Linked DNA regions of Nothobranchius furzeri. The protein of the gene in region 2 binds, or shares a complex with, the protein of the main gene of each other region. Links are inferred from orthologs where the notes say so. Each region holds a gene or a part of one and is shown on either strand. Other genes may lie near its edges.

Region 1 (6,496 bases), on a different chromosome or scaffold from region 2:
GTAAAATAAGTGGATTGTGTGAATCTTAGTGTGTGCGTGATAAATGTAGTTAGCTGTCTATTGGTCTTGAACTAAAAATAATAGCTTAATATCTGACATATTTAGAAATTACAAACGTCAGCAAAGTAATTCAAACTGTTATGCACATTATGCTGTTTGGTTTTGTTAAAGAGCAAGTCACCCCCTACTAGAGTATTACTCCGCTCCTACTTCCTGTTTGAAAAATGCAACAAATGCTGTTGCCTAGCAAACAGAGAGGGCGGAGCCGCTAACAAACACACACACATACAGGCTCACAACATTGTGACATCATATGGTACCAGCTAACGTTCTAGGGTACCTCTTAGCCAATAGCGATGGCAGATTTAAATCCACTGCAGATTTTTTACCTGACAACGGCACAACACTGACAGTTTTAGGCAGAATTTTTTTATTTTAACTAAAATGCACTAAAGTGCAAAACTATGGACTACACGTGTCTGCAGCACGATTAGACACGCATTTATATAGTTTATCAGAAAAAAAAGTTGATTTGGGGGTGACTTGCTCTTTAAAGTCAATTAAACTTTCTTTAAACACTTTGTGGCTAGCAAACATTGTAAGGCAGTGGAAAAGAAGAAAAATGCATTTTCAGATAATTTATGGGTTTATTTAAATATAAAACAAATATTTACAGAAAAATAAATGGCAGAAGGATTCTGCAGCGCATTCAAGCAGTTTCTCAACATGACTATCAGCTTCTGTCAGATCAATACAATACTAAAACTCTAAATCTGTTCCTATAATCATGTCCAGACTAAATCTGAGTGCTTTTACGTGGAAAACTCTTTCATAGAGGCTTCTTCTTCAGTCCAAAAACCGCGATGAACAGAAGAATTTCCACACAGGCTGGTAGGACACTAGAGGGAGAGAGGGAGGGAAACATGAGGAAAACACAACCATTACACACACGTGCTTCCTCTAAATGTAGACTATCTGAGAAATAACACATTTATTTGCAACAACACACAGGCACACCGACCTGCAGGTTGCAAAAATCACCCAGTAAGTCCAGCATTCCCACTTCTCAAACACAAAGAAAGACAAGGACACAGATGCACTGCAGTGGACAGCCAATGCTGGAGACAACTGTCTGTTAGGGAAACAAACTCTTTATGAAAACAATAAAAGTTATAAACTAACCTGCAAACGGCAAGAATCCACCAGTAGCTGTCACACTGCCACTGCTCAAAGAGAAAGAAAAGCAGAGCCACTGCGGCACTGGCGTGGACTCCTGTTGCTATAACGTTACATCCAACAAGTCATGGAACTGTAACTGATGACTTTTTGACATTTAAAGAGCAAGTCACCCCCAAATCAACATTTTTTTCCTGATAAACTAAATAAATGTGTGTCTAATCGTGCTGCAGACACGTGTCGTAAATAGTTTAGCACTTTAGTGCATTTTTGTTAAAATTTAAATTTTCTGCCTAAAACTGTCAGTGTCGTGCCGTTGTCAGGTAAAAACTCTGCACTGCATTTGAATTTAAATCTGCCATCGCTATTGGCTAAGAGGTACCCTAGAACGTTAGCTGGTACCATATGATGTCACAGTGTCGTTGTGAGCCTGTGTGTGTGTGTGTATTTCTTAGCAAAACTATTGACACTCATTTATATAGTTAATCAGCAAAAAAAAAAGTTAATTTGGGAGTGACTAGCTTTTTAATAACAAATTCACTCATCCTTACTCTTTAACCTATAACAAACCTTTATTTTATAGTAATTTGGGTTTTATTCAGCTATTCCGTTTGTCTTTTAGAGAGAACCGACCAAGTGGGAGAGAGCTAAGCTAGTTATCCACTAGCTGCTGCTGCTGCGTGTTCTTTGTGTTACAGCCTTAACCAGAAGTCGCTTTACTGTTGAATATTAAAGGTCATATATGTATATATATATATATATATATATATATATATATATATATATATATATATATATATATTTCATTAAGGATGAGTAAAGGATACACAGGAGACCCTGAGTGCTGTTGAACATAGACACTCCTGAAAAGAAGCCAGCCAGCTCGATTACAAACAGACCAAGTGTGACTGCCAGCGCCACCACCAGCCTGGAGGGAACAAAAGAGATCATTTAATCCGAGAACCTGATAATACGAGTGTGTTACATACATATCTACTCACTTTTTGTCTTCGGTATCATACTGCTCTGGTGTGAAATCCAGTGGTAAACATGCTTTTACATTATTTTCCTATAAAAAGAAAAACAATTGCAAATTATTTCAAGGGCTGAATAATCTGGATGTGATGTTGACCGTAGAGCAGTGGTGTCCATCCCTGCACCTCGAGGGCCCCTATCCAGCATGTTTCAGTGGTTTCTCTGCTCTGCTGTTTTTAACCAAGAGGTGATTAGGGTTGTCACGGTAACCGGTGTAGCGGTAAACCCCGGTAAAAAAGTTGACAATAATAATAACCGTCTTGTTTTTTTAAAAACTATATTATCTCGGTGGATTACCGTGGCTGCGGTGTAGGCGCGGTGACCCTTACCAGCCACCGTATCATCTGCTGAAGTTGCCGGCGGCACATGCGCACTTTGTTGTTTACAACCAAAACTTTCTTGAAGCTAAAGCTGAAATAACGGACAAAGGAGGAGACGGCAGCACTCAGGACATTTATTATCGCTCTAAGAAGACAAAGTCAGAAGTACGGGCATTTTTTTATACCAGAAGAATGCCGAGGGAAAGCTGATAGAAGACGGCTATCCTGTTTGCAGCACGAGCAGAAAAAGTGTCTGTGAAAGGCAGCAACGCTTCAAATCTCATGACACATCTGCGTGACCATCACCCACAACTCTACAGTCAACGCAAGGCAAGCTAACGTTAGCGCTTTAGCTAAAATGCGTGATCCGAGGATTTGGGTTGAGGGAGAACGCAACGAGTCGCTATATAAAGCAGCCGCAGCGCCGCTACCTGCATATAAACCGTGTCGCGGACACCGCCATGTTGAAATGACGCTATGCATTACGGGGCTCCCAGGGGCAGATAAGAGTTGGTCTCTCTCCGAGAATAATTATGAATTTAACAACGATTACTGCCTGATGCCATTTTCCCACATCTGCAAAGCTCACTGGAAGGACACAAACCGAGGACAATATTTTCCTGATATAGGGTTTATTACTCAAGTAAGGGTAAAAAGTATCTGATTAGAAGGCTACTTGAGTACTGAGTATCATCTGGTCTAATATTTTTAAAATGATGACATCAAACAGACATAAAATAAGAAAAGTTATGGGCAAATATTGGTATTTTAAAGACTTAAGGGGAAATATGTAAACAAATAAACAACATAATTACAAAATAACACATTTTAGGCAAAATTTAGACACAAACTGAGGACAATATTTTCCTGATATACAGGGTTTATTTAGTTTCCTGAAAATGTAACACGTTTAAAACAATACCACGATAATACCGAAAACCGTGATAATTTTGGTCACAATAACCGTGAGGTTAAATTTTCACACCGTGACAACCCTAGAGGTGATTAACAGCTTCTGCAGACCTAATCATGCTAAACAGGTGACTCAACCATTGAATCAGGTGTGTTTGGGCAGGGAAACAACCAGAACATGCTGGTTAGGGGTCAATGAGGACACTTCCTGGAACTTAAATGACGTTTTATAACACAACAAGGAATATGTTTTAATTACCTTTGATGTTTAAGCAGAATTTCTAACAATGTGTTTGTGTGTTCACCTTTGTGGTATTTCATATAACAGCAACGTCTAATAAAACCACAGATCTAAAATCCCATAAAGTTTTCTCCATTATGAAAATAAAATCAGGCACAAGAAATCAGATTAAAGATAAACCATTTTTTTCTTACCCTTGACCAAAAGATGGTGATAACAATGACAAGATGAGCTGTGATGGTGAGAAACCGAGCAGGAACAAGGCTGCTGATGGCCGACATGGTGATCCTAATCAGCAAAGTAAAACTCTAAAAGCTCGTGAGTAAAAAAAAGAGTAAAAGGTTTTTGTTTACTGCGACGGAAACCACTCAGTAAGCTAGGCTAGCATGTAGCTAAATGTGCTAACTTTAAACGAACACTTTAGCATCTGTTTATCTTGCGGCTAATGACATAAACCAGCTGATTCATTTGTTTGTTTAAAAACTCGCGAAGTCTATAGCTTAGTTTTGTGTCTCGTTCGTTAACAGAGCCAAAAACTTCACGTTGTGACGCAACTAACGGTTGCTACAACAACCACGGACAATGTGCATACGGTTTTAATGACCGGACAAAAAAACGAACACCTAAACGGTTCCGCGTTGACCATGAACGCGTCACGTAAAAGAGTTTTTAATCAGCAGTAAATAATATAAAACAGAGAAACCCAAACATCTTATTTAGTAACGGTGGGTAGTCAGCGCGTTTCATTTTTCCTGGTCAGAGTTAGTAAAAGAGGTGTAGCTTGACGTGTAGCTGGATATTTATTTATTTATTTATTTATTATTTATTTGTTTATTTATTTGCTTTTTTTATTCATCAATACTGCGATCTGATGGTAACACCTGATGTCTTTTCATTTTTATCATAAAAATGCTTAAAACTACCCGAAAATTCAGGTTCCCCGAAAAAAAAAACAAGACAAAATGAAAGAAATAGAAAGGGCCACCAGATCCGTTCGCTGTTGGATAAAACGGTTTTATTTTTAAAAAGACAAACAACAACCGCATGTTTAATTGGAATTGGCAGGATAAACGTGCCTGTAAAACAAAACAGCGCAATAAGAAACGAATGTGTTTCTGTTAGATGGTCTGAGCCAGAGATTTCCCACCCCCATCCCACCAGTGGACTCTTCCCCCGAGGCAGACTGAACCGATCCAGCGTGCGTGAGCAGCGGAGCGGCACCAGCCAAGGCCCGGGCTTTGCCTCGCGGCCAGGAGAAGAAGACAACCAGCCGGGGTTTTCTCCAGGAGATCCTTTTGAGTCGCTTAAATCGAGAAAGCATCATGGCCGAGTCGGAGTTCCAAACCTTTACTTCTATCATGGACGCGCTGGTTCGCATCAACGTGAGTATGACGCTGGCTTTATTAGTCACTTCAGCCATTTGTGCAGTTTCAGTCTGGATGTTTTAGCGGATTTCCCCCCATGTTTCAGATATGAAGCCATCTGCATACAGATGTGTCCAGCTGTGATGATGGAGCGTGCTAATTCCGTTTGGAGACATGATATCAGCGTCACAGTAAAGCTCTGGCACTGTGTAAATAACAACAAAACAACATTTAAAACGTGGAAGCTGAAGTTGATGCGTTTGATTTTTTTACTGTTGGACTAATTTAAATATGTTAGAAAATAGCACGAGAGGCGTTGGGCCGTGCACACGAAAAGACAGAGATGATGCTGGTTGTCATAGAAACGGGATGCTGCGCCCTCTAGCTGCAGTGATGGAAAAGAGCCACCACGTCCACGGAAACTGATTTTCATCATGCTTTTTTTCGTGAATTTAACATTTTTATTGTTTGTTAAACATTTGAGAGAAAATGTGAGCTAACTTCGTTACATATTTTCTTTCTGGTTATTCTAACTTTACACAGTTACTCTGTTCACTTGACAAGGCCGAACATAAGAGGCTTCAGATAAACACCTCATGCATTTGTTTCTGACTCAGGTCTTTTTGTCTGTTCTCTCTTTCGACCTCTCCCACATCCACACTGCCTCTCCTCCAGTCCAACATGAAGAGTATGGAGCAGGAGCTGCATTGCCCGGTGTGTGACGAGACGGTGAAGCAGCCTATCCTTCTCCCGTGCCAGCACAGCGTGTGCCTGCTTTGTGCAGCTGAGATGCTGGTCCAGAGAGGTTATCCTCCTCCAGATCTCCCCCCGGACCCCAACTCACCTGCCTCCACCCCAAACACTCGCTCTCCAAGACAGGCACGTCGGCCTGCGCCCAGGACGCCCGACCGTCTGGAGCGGTCCCTCAAAACAGGTGGAAGGAAAGATTTGGAATAATTTACTCATGTTGGGTGGGGATGACGTAAATGACCTCAGTATCCTTGTGCCTCAGCAGTAGAAATCCACAGATGATGATGATGTGATGCAACATATCAGCTCATGACTTATTTAAGAGCATGTAAAGCAAACGTTGAGTGAATCAGACAAGCTTTAGACAGCACAGATCGGTCGTACTCTATTGTGAAACAATATGTAATTTTACAGCTATAAGGTGATAACCTCTTCTTTTAATCTCTCCCTCACACCTGCATCGGTGTCTCAGTATGTGGGACATACCCAGGTCTGAGGCGCAGGGAGGCAGCCCCTCCCCCCATGCTGTTCCCCTGTCCTTCCTGTCAGCTGGATGTGGAGCTGGGGGAGAAAGGACTCTCCGACTGCCTCCGTAACCTCACCCTGGAGCGGATCGTTGAAAGGTCTGCACGCCCACAAACACCACAACTAAGGCCTAGTCCACACATAGCCAGGTTTTTTCTTTAAAACGAATATCC
Region 2 (6,396 bases):
CTGACCCCCAAACCTAACATCTGGTTTAACTCCTGAAGGCAACAACAGCCGTCAGGTGTTAGTGATGACCGGTGAGGCGTCTCACATCGCTGAGGAGGAGTTTTGCCCCGCTTTACTTTTAATTCAGCCACATTGGAGGGTTTAGAACGTGTTGCTTTTTGAAATTGCCTACTTCACTTGTTGATTTCTCACCTAAAGCTTTAGCAGTAATCAGGCTGGGTGAAACTTAGCGTTTCCACATAAAACCAGGTTGCTTGACCATTGTCCCCTTATTGCTGAAATCACTCTCTTGCTCTAAAAAACTCTAAGCTTCACAGCTTTGATCAAATCTTGAAGTTACATCATGCAGGAGTTTGAGCAGCGATAATCTCTGGAAACATTTGACCTCGTCTCCCAGCTCCAGAAACTCCCTTCATTGTTCCAGCACAAATAACTGATTATCTGGACGAGACACTCACGGGTTTGTGTACTCAGGGCTGCTTGCGGGATTAGCTGTTCTGCAAAAGAACCAGAGAGCTGCAGCTTGGAGTGCGGTGACAGCAGAGACGGAGGTGGCAGAGAGACATTTAATCCCATCTGAGGAAGAGCAAAAACTTTCATTTACACCTTCTAATGCAACGTCTACTGATAATACACAACAGAAGGCTTAAACGTTTTAACTCTGAAAGAAATGTGGAGACAAACAGCCTTCATTAACTTTAATATGACTCACAGTAACCTTGTGAGTCTGTGTGGTGTTTGGGGTCTGTAACCGTATAATCACCGTGCTAGTGTCTGGTGGAAAGCTCTTCCCCATATGACTGATGCCCATTTTGTCTGCAAATAAAGAGAACAAGACTAAATACTCTGCATGTAAACAAACAAACTCATCTGAGATGCTCTCATACAGACCGTGATCCGAAAGAAATCCAGAAGCTGAAGATCGGCGATGTGGTTCCTACAAATGGTGTCAAAATATGAGCCCCGTTTAAATAACTAAATGATATTTTGTGAGTTAAAGAAGATTTACCAGAACTGAATCCAGCCGCCGTTTAACAGACTGCATTTTCATGGCGAGTCGTGCTGCATGAGCAAACTGGTCCATGGCCGAAGGAGCAGAAGTGTCCTGCAGCAGCAGCAGAGAGTCGGGCGTGTTTCTGAGCGTTCGGTCTGCAGACGCCGATGTGCTCGCTGCTTTAATGTTCTGCATCTCCAGCTGGGAAACTAAATGATAAAACATGTTTAGCAAAGTGTACGAAAAGCAAAAAACAACAAAAATCATCAAAGACGACACAAACCTTTGCGATCGTACAGGTACACGAGCACAGGCTGGCTCTGACCGTACGCGCAGAACGCCACCATGTTCTCATGAGGGTGGAAAGAGACGCCATGGAGAGCGGTGTGGTAACAGAGCTCAGAGTATACCTCAACCTGGTCACCTGGGAAGAGCAGGAGAAGTCAACAAGATGCAAAATTCCCAACTGAATTTGATTTTTTTTTTGTTAATAAAAATTGATAAGCTGTGGCGGCCATCTTGAACTGGGTGAATCAGCTGTGGACACACATCCTGTGTCTTAACTTACTGAGAGTTGCATTAAAATCCATCCAGTTTACTGAGACAAGCACATCTTCACCGGCGGCGACTAAAACGCTGTTACCTGTGTCAGTATTCCAGACGTACGCCATCCCATCCTCGCTACCAGAGAGGAGGAAATTCCCACAAGGTGTGAAGGTGCTACAAATCCTCTCTCTGTAGTTTGTTGCTCCAGTGTATCGCTTCACAGCCAAACTGGGGGCGACAAATGTAAAAAAACATAAACTTTCTGTTAATTTTCCATGATATCTATAACATGACTTTACTCATTCCTCTTCAAAGTTTGTTGGTGTAGCTATCATTAGAGATTTTTTATTTTTTTCTAACTTACATCCTTAAGTCCATCATCCTCAGGATGCTGTCTTTGGCGTGTATGAGCAGGCACCGACCATTAGGGTGGAGCTGCAGCATGCTGATGGGTATGCTTCGCAGGTCATCCTCAGAGATTTTCTGCAGAGACAAGAAAAAAGTCCATCCATCCATTTTCAGCCGTTTATCCGGAGTTGGGTCGCGGGGGCAGCAGCCTAAGCCGAGACACCCAGACTTCCCTCTCCCCAGCTACTTGGGCCAGCTCTTCCGGGGAAATCCCAAGGCATTCCCTGGCCAGCTGGGAGACGTAGTCCCTCCAGCGTGTCCTGGGTCTTCCCTTTGGTCTCCTCCCAGTTGGACGTGCCCAGAAAACCTCACCAGGGAGGCGTCCTGACCAGATGCCCGAGCCACCTCAACTGGCTCCTCTCGACGTGGGGGAGCAGCGGATCTACTCAGAGCCCCTCCCGAATGGCTGAGCTTCTCATCCTATCTCTTAAGGGAGAGCCCAGCCACCCTGCGAAGAAAACGCATTTCGGCTGCTTGTATCCGCACTCTCGTTCTTACGGTCACTACCCAACGTTCATGACCATAGGTGAGGGTAGGAACGTAGATCAACCGGTAAATGGAGAGCTTTGCCTTCCGGCTCAGCTCTCTCTTCACCACGACAGATCGGTACAACGCCCACGTCACTGCAGACGCAGAACCAATCTGCCTATCAAACTCACACTCCATTTTCCCTCACTCGCTCAAAGAAGAAAATATTTGCAGAGAAAAATATCTTTTTGTGTCTGTGAGAATTTAGTTTGACTCCAATTGAACAAATCTAGACTAGAGCCCTACACTGGGACTGGGATCCCACAGAAACCAACGCTAATCTGGTGGATGCTGGCAGTTGTGAGACTGCTGTAGGAGGGAGCGGGTGGCTAGAAGTATACCACGAATCTCAAGACTGTTGATAGGATGAAGAGTACAACTGAGGCTACAGAGGTAACACGCGACATAAATATAAACGTATTTGATCGTAAAACATGTTGTTTTGTTATTTAATGGAGCTGCAGGTGGAGGTGGGGTTGGACACAAACTTTGCGAGATTGCATGGGAGTGACAGAAACAGACAACATAAAGAATAGTCCCACACGGGCTCTAATCTAGACTCGTACCCTCTCTATGCACCAACGATGACATGGCTTCTGTCGGTTCTTGTCATCATTCACTGAAGTTTTCCACACGATGATGGTGCCTGTGTTGTCTGCAGAGAACATCCTAGATCCTGTTTACACAAAAGAAATTACCATAAACAGTCAGAGGTGTTTAGGAGGGACTGAACCAGATGGGAAGGACTTGGTGGGGTCATCTAAACATTTGGAAGCTAATACCTTCAGAGTCAAAACAAATGGTGTTGATGAAGCTGCTGTGACCCTCAAACTCTTGCAGCAGCTGGCCGTTCACATCAGGGACATCAAGCCTCCACACTCGCACCAGACAGTCGTAGCTCCCTGTCACTGCCAGGTTCTGAGCGCTGGGGTGGTACTGAGCGCAGTACACGAAGGACGGATGAGAGAGGACCTTCTGGGCTGTTTCTAGAAGCATCTCGACATTCCACTCTCTGAAGGAGGAGATGAAAAGGAAGAAAGTGCTGTTTTATAAAATGTATTCCGAAGCTTAACAAAATCACACTGATATAGTAGGAGAGGCTACTGCGCCCTCTTGTGGGAACTTACCTCACCGTTCCGTCTGAGGAGGCAGACAACAAGCTTTTATCATCTCTGGACCAGCAGAGATCGTACACTATCTTCAGATGGCCGCTGAAGGCAGCTAACGCTCTGCCGGAGGGAATCTCATACACTGGAAAATTAGACAAATACGTTCTTTTAAAAGGTGCTTCCTCTCCCTTCTCCTGCATGCATGGATGGTTGAGGACTTCAATACAAAGTTGTGTAAAGAAACTCCCAAAATCGTTGCTGCTCACAAATAAGGTGAATTTTGTACAGATGAGGTGTGGCTCACCTACGACGGGGAAAGCATCTTTGTCGGCACAAGCAGCAGCCAGCATGGTTCCAGCGTGAGAAAACAGTACGGTGAAACATCCCATCTGACCCCCACGGAACGACCAGACCAGTTTGTTAGGGATTCGGCAGATCTGCAACACACAGACAAGGTCTAGTCCTGAGCTCTTCACTTCCTTAAGTAGATCAGATAATAAACATTTGATAGAAAGCAGCATCATGTGACTTGGAGCCTCCGCCGACCTGACCAACAGCACGGCTCCATCTCAGGATCGGCTGCTTGCTATCAGGAGGCTGTGTCAGAGTTTTCTGTGTGATCTCTTTCTGCAGATCACTATAGGTGGTGCTGCCTCTCTCCTCCTGTAGCGCCATCATAGATCGGATACCGGGGTCCACCTGCACAAACGGCACAAACCAACTCTGCTTTACCAAAGTAGAAGTATGGACAACAGAAAAACGTAATGAATCATCAGTTTCTAGCTGCAGACTTACATGTTCTGGGAGTTTGATCCCTTTCACGGTAACATAAAGGGTGGAAGCATAATGGATTCGTGGGTACTTCCTCCACCACTCAAACACTTCTATCGTTTTAGTTTGTCTCTTTGCCCGAGGTGGAGGGCAGAAGAGCTGGAGACGAAGTTTACTGTCGATGTTTAAAACATCATTTGTGCCAACAAGCTAAAATATGGAGAGAAAACATGTTTAAAAATGATGAACAGTAACAAATATAGACTGACAAGTGAACAGAATGTTCTCTTTACCTTCAGAAACGCCCATGCGACCTTTCTGAACCCTTGCTCGTGTTTATCAACGTCCAAGTTGGCTTTTACCTCCTCCATGGTCTTAAAATCCAGGATCTTAAAAAATATTTAGAAAATAAGTGACTTTTCTTAAAATATGGTTATTCACTTGGTAATGAAGTATATCTCACTTCAAAGAAGAGGATGACTCTGGGGCTTTCATCCTTTTGCTCAACAAAGTAGCCAAAGCGTTCGTTGAATATGATTAGCTCTTGCCACTCGGGGATGATGGATTTGTTCTTCTTGAAGTCAAAAGGCTGAGTCATGATAGGGAGGATATGGTCGACGTTCTGTCCCTCATAATAGGAAGACACAGGTCGATGGCTTCAAAACACAAACAGATTTCACTTTTAATTAAATGTTTGAGCATGAAAACATTTTTTTAAACTGTAGCCCAAATATTTTAACGCTGATAGGTGTAGCAGCATAAGATCAGAGATAACTTCTTCTCACCAGTCCCTTTTCTTCACATAATTGCCCGTGATCTCATCAACAACGTGGATCTTCACCATGGGGTGCGAGATCAGTAAGTCCGTCTTCAGGCGATCCGTTTTATGAACGAACACTCCCAGAACAAGACCGTCATCAAATGTCGGCTTTTGCTCCTCTGCTGCTTCAGCTTCACTTTCTTCTTTGACAACTAAAAAGTTGAGAAAAATAACTCATCAAAATCTCTTTTTATGTTACACAAATTACTTTGTTTTAAAAAACTACCGTGCTTCTTCTTCTTTTTCTTCTTTCCCTTTGATTCAGTTTTATTTTCCTCATCAGCATCTGGATTGACTTCCTCATCTTGATCCCTGATTAAAGAAAAAAAAAGTCAAAATGCTGCTTAAACTTTATTCTTGATATCAAAAACTACAATAAAGCTAAAATTAGAGAGAAATACACACCCTACATCTGACTCAGTTGTTACAGATTTCAGCTTTTTCTTTTTCTTCTTCCCCATATCATTATTCAACACAGCACTTTGTGAGTTAACAGTTTCCCGTTTGACCCTTGTTTTCTTCACAGTCAGCTCCTCTTCCTGTGCCATCTGCTGCTGGTATTCATGCAGTAGTTTATCTTCTGGATCCTCCACCGGACTCTCTGCAACATCTTCTACATTTTCTCTGACTTTTCCCTTCTTACTTTTTCCTTTTCGTTTCTTTTCACCAACAGCAGCTTCTGGATTCAAAGTATTGTCGGCTCTAGAAGCATTTGCCCCCTCCTGTAAGTCCTCTGGAATGTCTTTGGGTACAGGTAAAGAAGGGAGGTCCCTCTTACTCTTCCTTTTGGCTTTTGATGCTTTAACTTCTTCATCCTTGCTGTTGTTACAGTTAACCTGTTCTGCTGTTTCCTTTTCTCTTCGTTTGTTTTTGGAATAACGAGGGCTGCCCTGTTCAGGGTCATATGTGTTTTGCAGAATGGTTTCGTCATCTTCTGTGTCTTTCTCAAGGTTCAGCTTCCTGGTCAGATTCTGAAGCTTTGAAAAAAGAGATCGACAATAATAATACATGTGATTTATTAATATTTTAAATTGCTAGAACTGGTTCACATTAAAGAAAATAGAACATTCTTCTGTTGCAGATGCTTTCTATAATTATATTTCATAAATAACTCAAGTTTGAATACAACACTGCAGCCAGAATGTAGAACATTTGATGACAACCACTGGGTGGAAAACAGCACATGTCAGAACACCTACCACTATGGTCTCGTTTGCTTC

Evidence for each region.
Region 1: ahi1 (region 2) and tmem107l share a complex: the UniProt entries of both Homo sapiens proteins name them as parts of the tectonic-like complex. The link is inferred for Nothobranchius furzeri from reciprocal best matches to the Homo sapiens genes AHI1 and TMEM107.

What each region holds. Positions count from the first base shown.
Region 1 is NC_091745.1:78,309,475-78,315,970, forward strand, and holds tmem107l (transmembrane protein 107), read right to left. Parts: upstream 4,273-6,496; 5' UTR 3,966-4,272; coding exon 3,879-3,965; intron 2,246-3,878; coding exon 2,178-2,245; intron 2,105-2,177; coding exon 2,004-2,104; intron 1,280-2,003; coding exon of another isoform or gene 1,183-1,279; intron 1,119-1,182; coding exon 1,022-1,118; intron 900-1,021; coding exon 830-899; 3' UTR 628-829; downstream 1-627. UniProt on the Homo sapiens protein: Plays a role in cilia formation and embryonic patterning. Requires for normal Sonic hedgehog (Shh) signaling in the neural tube and acts in combination with GLI2 and GLI3 to pattern ventral and intermediate neuronal cell types.
Region 2 is NC_091758.1:20,123,410-20,129,805, reverse strand, and holds part of ahi1 (jouberin), read right to left. Parts: coding exon 6,376-6,396; intron 6,154-6,375; coding exon 5,582-6,153; intron 5,489-5,581; coding exon 5,403-5,488; intron 5,329-5,402; coding exon 5,142-5,328; intron 5,013-5,141; coding exon 4,820-5,012; intron 4,746-4,819; coding exon 4,650-4,745; intron 4,567-4,649; coding exon 4,381-4,566; intron 4,285-4,380; coding exon 4,132-4,284; intron 4,023-4,131; coding exon 3,890-4,022; intron 3,728-3,889; coding exon 3,604-3,727; intron 3,489-3,603; coding exon 3,259-3,488; intron 3,153-3,258; coding exon 3,043-3,152; intron 2,024-3,042; coding exon 1,905-2,023; intron 1,769-1,904; coding exon 1,638-1,768; intron 1,419-1,637; coding exon 1,278-1,418; intron 1,204-1,277; coding exon 1,010-1,203; intron 938-1,009; coding exon 892-937; intron 817-891; coding exon 713-816; intron 577-712; coding exon 459-576; intron 1-458. UniProt on the Homo sapiens protein: Involved in vesicle trafficking and required for ciliogenesis, formation of primary non-motile cilium, and recruitment of RAB8A to the basal body of primary cilium.